Linked DNA regions of Oryzias latipes. The protein of the gene in region 2 interacts with the protein of the main gene of each other region in a pairwise test. Links are inferred from orthologs where the notes say so. Each region holds a gene or a part of one and is shown on either strand. Other genes may lie near its edges.

Region 1 (4,199 bases), on a different chromosome or scaffold from region 2:
TTTCTAGGACATAGTTTCTGCAGAGCAGCATTCACCGCTGAGTTCTAGGCAGGACTGTTGGTGCTGAGAAAGCCTGTCCTCGTTTCCCAACATCCATTTGTTTACACTCTGTCCTGCTAGCTTACAGCCCCTCACAACCCCAACTTAACATTGGCAGTGCAACAAAAAAATGTGATCTATTTGTCTGCAATTGGATGCATCAGAACGGAACAGAGCATGGAATTTGTGCCCCCCGACTTAAGCACCTACTTCACTGCTACGTGTTTTTTAAAACTGCATTTTTTCATCTGCTCCTGCTTACAATGATTTGAACAAAGAAATACCCAGAAATGCAGTTTTGAACACCAAAAAACACAATTTCACTTGCTCTCCTCTGTGTAGCAGCAGTGCGCATGCGCGTGTGCTCACCTGAACGCGCCGAAGCACACGCTCCCGATCATATAGAAAAGAGAATAAAATATCAGCAGGCAGAGCAGGAGATTGAGCAGCACGGTCTGCAAGACAACACACGAGATGGTCATTTATTCAGTCTAAGATGTCAAGCATGTAATTTCACGTCCTGGGTGTGAGAAACCTGCCGGTTTGTAATAGAGAACATAGTGTTAAAGCAGACTGACTTCGCTTCACTAACAGCGCCTATAACACAAGTAAACCTGGCGTTATAATAAACACATAACACAACTGTGTCATATAATTTGTTAGTATCTGACATACATTATTGTCACTCGACAGACAGAATCGAAAAACATAATTTTAAGTGTTCCAGCCTCGCAGCACAGCACGGCGATGCCCTCCTCTTACCTTTGAATCGACCGCTTTGCCTTTGAATGCCATCTCATGATTTGCACTTGACGCTATACTGGAAAAATATTGCAGAAATGCAGACTGCAGCAGACGCCGCTAATCCTTCACAAACTGGACTCGGCGCGCCATCTAGCGGCAGAGAGGAGACAAGAGGCGGCGCCGCTACACGCCGCTATTATGGTCGAGCTGAACTCATTTCATTTCGTGTCAGAGCGACCTTTGTTAACAAAACAAGAGCTGTATTTTTGGTGTGCAGATTTATATTCATTTAATATAATGGCGTCTCAAAAATGTAGGTGAAATATTAGTTTGGGTAAAAATGCTGCCTACTAAATGAAAAAGAAGGTAATAGAAACGCCAAAACAATCTGGGTTAGCCGCTCAATATTTAGTACTAACACGGGATAAATAAGTCTTAGTAGTACCAGGACTTTTAAACTGAAAATATACAAACAAAACCGCACCGCGCAAATCGAGCTTTTCAAGTTAAAATCACTAAATCTGCATTCAATGATAGAAATGTTGTGATAGCGGCTTTTAAATCAAACATTCTGTTAATATCCGGGGTTAGTTTGGTGCATTACTTTGTCAGGTTCGGTACTTGTACAAACAGGAGGATGGGATGTTTAAGTCCGTTTTTATAGCCGTAGACTGCGGCCAGAAACGACAGTGTTACTAAAGAGCACCGGTGCACCGTCCCGTGATGCATTTGACTTTTTTCAAGTAGTCCTTTCGCTATTTTTGCGCACATTAGCGCATGTTAGCTCGAATACGACACGGAGACTTGGCTAATCGGAGCGCATTAGCACGGACTGTACTGCCAGAGAGTAACGTGGTTCAAATGGGCACGTAAACTGTTTGAACACAGAGGAACTAGACGCTTCTCGACGGTTAATGGAGCGCTGCGGTCCTGCGCTTTATGATACTCCTAGTTCTTGGTGACTTCATAGACTGTTCGTGTTCGGGGTGGGAAGGGGAAAGAGGAACCCCCCGTATCCTGCTGGGAGTATTATTATACTGGTACCGAACTGGGGTTTGGGCGCGTGCTTTGCGCACGCGTGCCTGCTATTGACCACTAAAAGTAAATTGAACTTTTCCGAGACCCAAAGTTGTCAGGCAGCGCATCTTGCACGCATGCGCATCGTCTATCCAGCTCTAAATAAGAGTTAAAACAGAAACGAGGTGAGTTCCACAATTTTCAAAACATTGCGGGCCTTAAATATTATTTATTGACGCGAACGTGGGCTAAATTTAGGGGGAAAACGGAGTTTAGTTTGATAAATAACATTAGTTTGCGTTATTTCCACTCTGATTCAAAACGGCGAGAATAAATCGTTTCTTTTTTCAAGTTTCTATTGAAGAAATAAATCAAGCAACAATGTTTAAGCTTATAACAGTGGCACGATCTTATTGTTTGAGTGCATTTAATATTTTGTTTGAGATCTGCGTTTCGCAAAGGCGTTTTCCCGGTGTTATTAAGTGGGAAACTTATTTATTACGGATCGTCCTTAGCTGGCTGCTTACAGTCACAATGCTAGGGCTAGCCGTGTAGCAGTTACCCGTTCATCTGAAGGGAGGAGGGGGCTAGCTAACTGTTAGCTGCAGCACTAGCTGCTGTAGCAAGCTGGGTTGACATTCCGTGACAAGGGGAAAGTGAAGAAAAATGAGCAGAGTGAATAAAAACACCATCTTGGGAATTACACGGAAAACGTCTGCATTTATTTGACGCACTACAGCTTTGCGATATTTGTTTAAACCGGTAACTTGAGTAATTAACATAGTTTGAACGTGTTGGTGGCCTCTTCCAATGCTCCGCCATTTTGTATAAGACGAATGCTAATCATCATGGGCGCTCTTAGAGACACTTTTATTTATGGCTGGAATAAAACTGAGGTTTCCGGCTTGAAGCCAAACTTGACCAACAATCCATAAGCTAGGATTGTTGTTCACTTTAACACTGGTTATTGCCGCGGCACAAACCAAAAATATCACCTTAATTCGGTGTTGAACATGCGTCAAGACTAAAACGTTTTTGCAGAATAACAGACTTCTTTAAACGTTTTTAAGTTTGGCTAGTGAGTGCAGAAAACAATGTTCTCTGTGAAATGGATGACTAAATATCCGCCTTACTTGCTCGTCACCCGGGAAACAGTCATCTTTAAGAGATACTGTTAAAACAAGGAAAAGATGAACTTGTGTGTTTAATTTAAAGTTGAGACATTTTTCGCCGGGCTTGTCAATGGTCTTGGTCACGGTTTACCCCAACGAGGTCGTTTGTGCGCGTATTTGCCCCTTAGTTTGCCGGTAAAACTGCATTATTATTGACTGTTTTTGTCTGAAATCGAAGTGCATGGTGTACCCGGCGAGCCGGCTCGCCGTCGCCATCTATTGGTGATGTTGCGTAAGGCTGTTTACAAGTGCAGAGAGGAGCTGCTTTTGGTGATTTCGGCTGTTTTCTCGTGTTAAAAACCCTGTCCAACTTTAACAACACAATAAAATGTTTCATCTTAGTCCTGCTGATCGGTTCTATGCATTTGGGTTCCATTGCACATTTCTTTCTTTTGTCACAGTGGTTTCTTGTTACAGGGTGGTCGTATCAGTGGAGTGGGGATGACTGACACTCCACCCAGTGATGGAGCCTCTCAGGGAGCTGAGTTTGACATGATGGGAGCCCTCGACTGGAAAGATGGGATAGCCACTCTGCCAGGCAGCGACATAAGGGTACAGTTCAGGTTTTTTCTGCATTCTGGTCTTTTTTTTTGTACAAAAATTGTCATCATTTTAACTCATGGTGTTTTATATAGTGAATTATCTTGATAATTTGGCCATTGAAATAATCAAAATACAATGTTATCTAGAAAATGGTCATTATATTCAATCAGCTGTTTTTTCTGTTGCTGTTTTCCCCCCTTGGTGCTTTAGTTCCGCATGACAGAGTTTGGGACTCTTGAGATTGTCACAGATCTGGAGGTCAAAGGGCAGGAGGCCGTGTCTAACAGTGAGACCTTGGACCCTGCGCCATCTCACACTCCCACCCCTCCACCAGAGGCCCAATCACAGACAGGCTCAGCTACAGCTCCAGCCAATCAGAATAAAACAGGATCAACTCAAACTAGAGGTATAAAAGCTTGTGTCAAACATTACTTTTATAAAGAACTACACTTTTCAGTTTGTAGAATACACTTTTTTTCCCTATAGTGATTTCTGGACACTGCATCCCCCTTTTATTTGCTCAGTGTTTCAGCGTTTAGTCATGTGTTTGTGTCTTTAGAGGAGGGTGGCAGCACGGAGGCCCCCAACATGGAGGTTGGTCCCAGTCCAGACGTTGGTTCCAATGCAGAAACAGGGCCTAAAGGAGAGCTGCTGAGGTGCAGGGCCTGCGGTGGTCGTGTTTCT
Region 2 (3,705 bases):
TGCACATGTGAAAATGACCCTCTGACTTTGAACTTTGGATCAGAGGAATTTCAAAACACCATCACGTCCAACGAGCGGGTGAACATTCAGGCTCGTCTTTATACAACCATGTAAACCGGAGAAGCAGAACTTTACAGGATCTGCTCAACAATAAAAAGACTAAACTTCTGTTCCAAACACTGTCCCACTGTCAAGGGTTAGAATCCTGAAGACCCGTCCTTGAGCTCCTGCCTGAAAACGGACAGAGTATCTTGTCAAGCCTGATCACAGTCAGCTTTATTTCTGCGCGTTCATTCTCTTCTTCCTTTCTTCGTCCTCCGTGAAACATTCAGCGTTATGCTATTTAAGTACACACTCCTTTTAATGCGTCAGGTTCATGTCATTATTTGTAACTGCATGGAAATAAGCTACACAGACTGTTATTTTGCACATCTGGATGTCTTCATACCAGGACCACCCTTTTAGGAATCCTTTTTCTGTCCCGGATTCCTTTGCTTTGCCAGGTTTCTCCATCATAGCCTGGTGAGGGCATCTGGGGTGTGTTCGCCTTCACCAGTGTGCGTTTGTGTTGACAAAAGCCTGAGAAGCAAAAGTGTTGTTTTTGTATCTTTGTCTTTATTGTCAATAAATACTCATTAAAGTGCAAATCATAACAGCAGGATCATGCAGCGCACGGCAAAACCAATCCAGAGTTCACGTCTGTGCACGTCCCCCAGGAGCCGCCGTGTACAGGGGGCAGACAGGGAGGGGTTAAAGGTCACGGCTATTCAGTTCCCCACTCACTTTGGTGTCGGATGTGGTTCTGCTCCAGACCAGCTTCCAGAACCAGCGTGCCGCTTGTGGCTGCGTAGCTGCTGTGTCTGACAGTAATCATGAAGCAGGCGTGCTTCCATGTTGGCAGAGGGATGGCTGCTCCGTGCACACACAGGCAGGTGTGCACGGACGTTGCATGTGTGCATGAGCAGAAAGGCAGCAGAGTCAGAGACGGAAACCCAGGAAGGTCGCAGCTTCAGCGGAGGCCTGACCGGCTGTGAAAAAGCCCTCGCTCCACTTGTGTTCAGCAGCAGAGAACAGGACAGCAGTGCTGCAACAAACCCTGCATGTTCACCCCATCAAAAGCAGGCCCCAGGACTTATTGCCTCTCACTTGCTCAGGGCTCCACTTTCATTTGCCAGAATAACCCAAAGAGAATGTTGAGATGCTGCAGCCGGAATCAGCAGCGCGACCTTTGAGGCCGGACTGACTCAAACAGAGAGGCTCTGAGCCGCTACACACTAAGTCTGAGATTAGAAGAAACATTTTGCAAAACTAAAGTGACACTGTCATTTGTATAAATGATCACAACAAAGCCCTTCAGTCAGCCACACAACCTAAACTAACAGGCACTGCAGCACATCCTCTGCCTCTGAGATGAGCGTTTGAGCGGAAACGGGACATCAGCGTGAACACAGACAACAGATGGAGTGTGATGCAGTGAAGAGCCAATCTGACCTGGAGACAGGTTTCGAAGTGCAGCCCGAGCGGAGGCGGAGCAGTCCTCTGACCCCGCTCTGCTTCATGGCCGACCCCTGCAGCCTCTCTTTAAGCTCCACGCGTCTACACTTCAACTTCAGCTCACCAAACATCAGTGAAGAAATCCAGGAAACACACGCACACACAATCAGGTCACACATTTCCACCTGCACAAATCAATGAGTTGCACTTTCTCAGGCAGCTGGAAAAAGGGGGTTGTGGCTTATCTCCTCCTGCAGGACATACACACCATTTCACCCAACCGTTGTCCTTCTGTGTCCACTATCTACACACTGGATAAGGGAGACAATAGGGTTCAGTGTGTTTCTGAACTATTTTTCATAATCTAAAGGCTACAGGTGCTGCGGGTTTTTGGGCTGTCCGGGCCCATGGAGGGTCGTAGAGAGGAGGGGCTGCATCTTAAGGGGAGCGCAGGTGTGTCTTGCAGTTCCCTTCAGGCTCGCGACGCCACCTTCAGGGATGTCATGAAAATGGAACGTACCATTGCCACGGGTGTGATAAGTCTATTGAACAGTAGTCGTAGTGATGATGTAAGTTCCACGTACTCATGACATGCGGGTGATGCTGTTGTACGATGACCTTACGCTACACTCTACTGTTTGTTGAGGTGTGATACGCTTAGATGTAGAAGTAATGTCACTTTGTCCTGGGGTAAAAAATCTGTGAGACACGCCTGCGTCTCACCTACCTCCCCTTCACCTTACCCTTACGTTTCGTATAATGGTTTCCTTGCAGAATGCTCGTAGAATAAATGTGCTTGAACATTTTTGCTCTTCGGGGTCACTGGGCGGGGTATGACCTTGATATTTCCTCCGTGCCCTGTACAGATTTACCCATTTTCCACCTGCAGAGAGCCCACATCCCCCCGTAGGAGCGGTGGCTAAAGGCTTTACTGTGCTAATCGAGCAGCACTTACAAACAGATGACGTGCTGCGTGTTAGTTAGTAACTGCTGCTGTTGTGTGAACAATCACGCCTGTGTCCCGACACCAGGGACTCACTGCAGCTCCTGAACAAACGAAAGGAAAAAACGTCGACAAGCTCTGCTGCTCCAGCTAACGCAGTCACGGCGATAATGCACCTTGTTTTGTTGTTTTTATCTACATTCTACCTTTAAATCAGATTGACCTTTGGTTTAATGAAATGTTTAAAGGACAAACTTTGTAATTTTTTTCAAAAATAAATAACCATTTGATACCTAAATAATTGCATTATTTGCGTGATGAATAAATGATGCTTGTGTGTCAACACTTTTAAAGCTTTCTAATAAGAAACATAACCAAAGCTTCTTTAGTAAAACCCCCGATGGAGTGGTGTTGCCGTGGACACCGCTGCAGGTTTTACCATCAGATGTTGTTTTTGACACGACACTGACCTGTTCCTTCACGCTTCTCTGCTTCAGTGACATCATGAGCAGAGTGGGATCTCAGGCTCTGTTTTCTCAGACCGAACAATAGTATTGACACAAAAAAATGACCGTTTGTCTCCCTCTTTCCTTTCTGCACGCTATACAAACACTACATTTAGTTCTCCACCTCCCAGATCGGCAGATACTTTCAACCCAACATTCTGCTGACAGCAAAGGTCAACACACCTCAGCGCGCAAGCGTGGTGATCAGACTGGCACACATTTCAAAGAAGTCCATGGTGTGCGATCCCTGCCGCGGGGAGAGGAGGGGGGAAATGCCGGACAGCGATCCCGGGAGGGAGGAGCTAAGCTGAGGCACATCGTTGGCTGGGCTTGCAAAGTCAATGCTCAGCCTGGGTCTGTGGAGACCTGCAGTGGAGCCGGACCTCTGAGGAGTGGACGACCCCGATTTAAAGCCCACTGCTTCCAGGATGTCATCTGAAGGTCACAACATAGAGGAGCATTTTATTAGGGACTTCCAAGCCTTCTGTAGTAATAATCCAAGCATTTTTAAATCAAACTATGAATCTGGCCTGTAAGTGACTAAATACAAACATCGCAGGAACTCTTTCCAACTTTTCAAAGCCACTTTTGCAAAGACCTTTAAAAGAAATCAGCTGCTCAGGATGTAATGAATCTGTGTCCTCTTTGCATCTTATCCTGTTCAAGACTTTCGCCAGATCAACAGTGGACCAAAAAAGTATTCAGTCAGCCCCCAATTGTGAAAGGTCTCCCACGTAAATAGATGAGAGAGTAATTTTCATC
Region 3 (4,094 bases), on a different chromosome or scaffold from region 2:
GCTTCAGAACACAATTCATCCATGGATTTGAATGACTTCAACCAAATTTGATTGAGTGTTCTTGACCCAGTTTTCCCTTTGCTCATAGTTTTAGGTAATGGCTTTATATTGTTAAATTCCAACAAAGATGAAACTTTCACCTCTGCTTAATCAAGATTGTTGCCCCATAAAGCAGGTTTAGAGGAGGGATCGATGGATGCCACTATAACTTGACTTTAAGTACACTTTTAAGACTCAGACATGATCAGGATTCATGCATTATTATTATGATGTATAAATTAAGCAACATTTTGACACGTTACATTTGTGAGAAAGCAGCAAATGTCTATTAACGATGCGCTCTACAATGAAAATATGTGATATCCTAATTTTTTCTTCTGACTGCCTTACTTTAAGTCCCTCTCTGATCATCTTTTTTATTTATTTTCAGAGCGTTCCCACTGAACTTTTACCTGGGATTATGCAGTTTTTAGCTCCAAACAAAAAACCTGTCTCGTTTTCTAGGACATAGTTTCTGCAGAGCAGCAGTAGTTCGTTCGAAATTCCCCTCTGAGTTGTGTGTGTGTGTGTGGGGTTGTTGTTTACACTCTCTCTCTCGCTGGCTTTCAGCCGGCACATCCCCAATCTGACATTACAGGTGTTACAAAGATGGCGAGCAGTGTTTGAGCAAGCCAGCCATGCAGTTTTGAGCCAAATGCCAGCTCAGATGAGGGAAGAACAAAGACGAACACAAATATATTTGTCTACAAGTGGATGCATCAGAATGCAGCGGAGCAGGGAGCTTGTGACTCGCCGTCTTAACTTGTACATCACACTTACAAGCTTTTTCAAACAGCCTTTTATGTCTGCTCCTGATTCACAACGATTTGAAAAAAGAAATACTCAGAAATGCAATTTTAAGATTAATTTTCTTTCCATCATGAAACAAACATGATAAAATCACCCAAAACACAATTTTCATCAGAGTGTGTCTCTGTTTTTTAAGTCAGAGCTAATATTTTTCCACGAATCAAGTTTTTTTTTTTTTAAATAATTGCATGCATTCATATATATACCTAAATATAGACACAAACAAATGTTAAAGATGTGCTAATGTGAAGCTATTGCCTCAGCTAATGTTTATTGTGAACAATATACTTTGGACTTTTTATATGTTAAAAATAGCAAACTTTTAGAGTATCCATTCATTTTAGTTAATTAACAGAAATGTTAACATTTAAGCTGCATCCATCAACTGTGGCTGTCTAAGGAAAAATTTCAGCCAATCGGATCACAGCGCGAGCGAGAATAGCGTCACCTGTTAGCTAACACCTGCAGCTGGACGAAGTGGTAAGAACATCTATTTGACGAATAAAAAAAGACAGTTGCGGTGATAAAATATTACTATATTTAAATATGTGACTTTAAACTTATATTTACGCATTATTAATCGAATATTTAAAGATAAGACGAGGGCTTTGAATCTTTATTTATTTACTCGCTAGCTAGGTAGCTAGCTAATTGTAGCCAGTGACGTCTTTTTAAAAATTAACAAGTTGAACTTTCTTTCCTTCTGACTCATGGAATAAAAAAGAAAAATAACCCACAAAACTTTAACATTTGTAAAAACAAGCCATACTAGCCTAGAAACTAGTCTAAAAACACACATTTCAACAAAAGCTTATTTTATTTGGAATAATAAGGGTATCCAATACTAATCATCACTTTAAAAATCCAAATGTTATGAGAACAATATAAATTTAATTAGGCAAATTTTCGATTCCCATTAATATTTATTAACATATTAAAACCTTCTTAAAATTTGGTATATGCAACAGTATTTTACACAATATCAACCAAATTATTACACCTTTTTGAAGGGAATTTAATACTGATCCCTTAAACCACATGTGTCAAACTCAAGGCCTCAATTAAAATATTTTAATTTCTTAAAATATTTTTTTTTTGTCGATTACATATTATTTATGTGTAGCTGCTGTTGTAATTATTCAATGTTTGTGTGTATGCAGACAAATTGTCATCAAACCATCAGTTGGATGCAAGGCTGTGTGCAGCCTTTTTTTGTCAAATGTTATACATGCTTAATACATAATATTTTTAGCTCAGTTTGTTATTTTTCTTTATTTTTTGTCTTTATCATATCTTTATCATTACTGGAGTTATGTGGATTTTAATAACCAGACAAAATTTAAAAGGATTCATGCTAGAGTAACAAGCCAAGGGATGTTTTAAATGTAACTGTAATTGTCAGTTTAAAAATGTATAATCAATAAATAATAAGTTATTTAACCTCAAGGAGAAGTTACATTTATTTTTCATTACATTTAGTTACATGTATAAGTCATATATGGCCCTTTGAGGACAGCTCATATGCTGATGTGGCCCTCAGTGAAAATGAGTGTGACACCTCTGCTAGACAATCAAACATTCAGAGACAGACTTTACTTTTGGGTTGTTAGAATGACAACATGGACCGGAACTTTATTTTTTTTTAATACAGTTGTTTGTGGGGAAATGTCATATTTATAAAAGTTAATGGTCAAACTTAAAACCTAAATTTGTTCTTTTTCTTTTTCATTAATTAATGCAATATGGTAATAATTTCTGACCAATTCAAACAGAATTAGGCAGGTTCAACCAATGTAATTTTTAAAGGTACACTTTTTATTTAAACCCTGTAGCTCAATTTTATTTATTTAAAAAAATAAATGGAGGGGGGGTTTCTTTACTTTGGCCCTATACCTCATGGCGGGTTAAAAAACAAAATAACTTTTTCTGCTTGCTGTCGTTCAAATGGGGAACGAGTGTCTACAATGATTGTTTAGTGGTGAGGTGCAAACAATCAAATATTAGGATGCTTTATTAAGTTGTTCTCTCAGAATCTCCATATTTAAAAGAAACTAGTCTTGTTAGTTTGATATTTAATTATCTGTAGCAAAGAGGACTAGTATTAACTTTTCTATACACACAAAATCCTTTACTTTTTATACCCCTTGACTGATTTTATCACAAAGAATTTGTTGTTTAATGGTCACAGTCAGTATTTCCTGTCAACAGCTGTCACTTTGCACGGGTCTCTTTACTGAAACCATTGCTGTACCTTTCAGTCATGGCCATGTCTCTCTGTGACGACACACTGCTGTGTAACTTCCCCAAGTGTCGGAGCAAGTTGAGCGGCTTCGCTTGGGTCACGGCGTGCTCCCACGTCTTTTGCGACCAGCATGGATCTGGCGAGTTCAGCCGCTCCCCTGCCACCTGCCCCGCCTGCTCCTCTGCGCTGTCCGGCAAGCTGGACATCGTGAGGACAGAGCTCTCTCCATCTGAGGAGTACAAAGCCATGGTGTTGGCCGGTTTGCGGCCGGACGTAGTTTTGGACATCTGTGCTCGTGCCTTGGCCTTCTGGAGCTACCAGGTCACTTTTTAACTTAGTTAGTATCCCTCTGCGTCTTACAGCTTTGATTTTATTTTTTTATTTTTTCCTGACAGGTCCATCAGGAGCGCATGTATCAAGAATACAGTCTCTCCCGCGCTGAAGGACAGCTGAAGCAGATGGACAAGCTCCTGACCCAGCAGAACCAGAGCAGAGAGCTGGAGCTCTCATCCATGAGAGGGGAGATCACATCCCTGAAGAAAGTGATGGAGGAGTATAAGAGGAAGTACAGCGAGGTGTCCGAGAGGCTGATGGAGAGAAACAGGCAGTACCAGAAACTGCAGGGGCTGTACGACTCCCTGAGGCTGCGGAACATGGTGGTGGATGTGGGTGAGAGGGACACACAGCCCCAAACAGGACATCAAGACTTAAACCACGGTAAGAGGACGTCCCTGTCTCATTTGGGCCACGTTTTAAGGCAAACATGAAGAAAAAAGCTTAATTGATATCAATAACTTGCAGCATGTTTTTCTGACTTGGAAAGTGTCTTGTGTTATAATCACTCAGGGGCATAAAAAAATTTCTGAATTTATTTAAAAAATGTAATTAAGATAAATCATTTTTTTGAATTTTAAGTCCATGTTTAGAACAGGAAATAGTCACAGCAAGAGCAGCGTTAAAACCCCTAAAAGAGCGCTGAACCGTTAGGTGTTTTGATCAAAAG

Evidence for each region. The genes of interacting proteins can lie anywhere in the genome.
Region 1: the proteins of prkaa2 (region 2) and l3mbtl3 interact in binary tests that used the Homo sapiens proteins (3 or more experiments, as listed by UniProt). The two-hybrid records come from large-scale screens. The link is inferred for Oryzias latipes from reciprocal best matches to the Homo sapiens genes PRKAA2 and L3MBTL3.
Region 3: the proteins of prkaa2 (region 2) and ccnb1ip1 interact in binary tests that used the Homo sapiens proteins (3 or more experiments, as listed by UniProt). The two-hybrid records come from large-scale screens. The link is inferred for Oryzias latipes from reciprocal best matches to the Homo sapiens genes PRKAA2 and CCNB1IP1.

The regions. Positions count from the first base shown.
Region 1 is NC_019874.2:17,836,600-17,840,798, forward strand, and holds the start of l3mbtl3 (lethal(3)malignant brain tumor-like protein 3), read left to right. Parts: upstream 1-1,333; 5' UTR 1,334-1,985; intron 1,986-3,389; 5' UTR 3,390-3,413; coding exon 3,414-3,524; intron 3,525-3,725; coding exon 3,726-3,921; intron 3,922-4,074; coding exon 4,075-4,199. Other genes in the region: transmembrane protein 244, read right to left, coding at 409-494, 802-834. UniProt on the Homo sapiens protein: Is a negative regulator of Notch target genes expression, required for RBPJ-mediated transcriptional repression. It recruits KDM1A to Notch-responsive elements and promotes KDM1A-mediated H3K4me demethylation.
Region 2 is NC_019862.2:3,542,334-3,546,038, reverse strand, and holds the end of prkaa2 (5'-AMP-activated protein kinase catalytic subunit alpha-2), read right to left. Parts: intron 3,379-3,705; coding exon 3,128-3,378; 3' UTR 596-3,127; downstream 1-595. UniProt on the Homo sapiens protein: Catalytic subunit of AMP-activated protein kinase (AMPK), an energy sensor protein kinase that plays a key role in regulating cellular energy metabolism.
Region 3 is NC_019876.2:17,647,511-17,651,604, reverse strand, and holds the start of ccnb1ip1 (E3 ubiquitin-protein ligase CCNB1IP1), read left to right. Parts: upstream 1-1,228; 5' UTR 1,229-1,329; intron 1,330-3,107; 5' UTR 3,108-3,109; coding exon 3,110-3,412; intron 3,413-3,486; coding exon 3,487-3,808; intron 3,809-4,094. UniProt on the Homo sapiens protein: Ubiquitin E3 ligase that acts as a limiting factor for crossing-over during meiosis: required during zygonema to limit the colocalization of RNF212 with MutS-gamma-associated recombination sites and thereby establish early differentiation of crossover and non-crossover sites.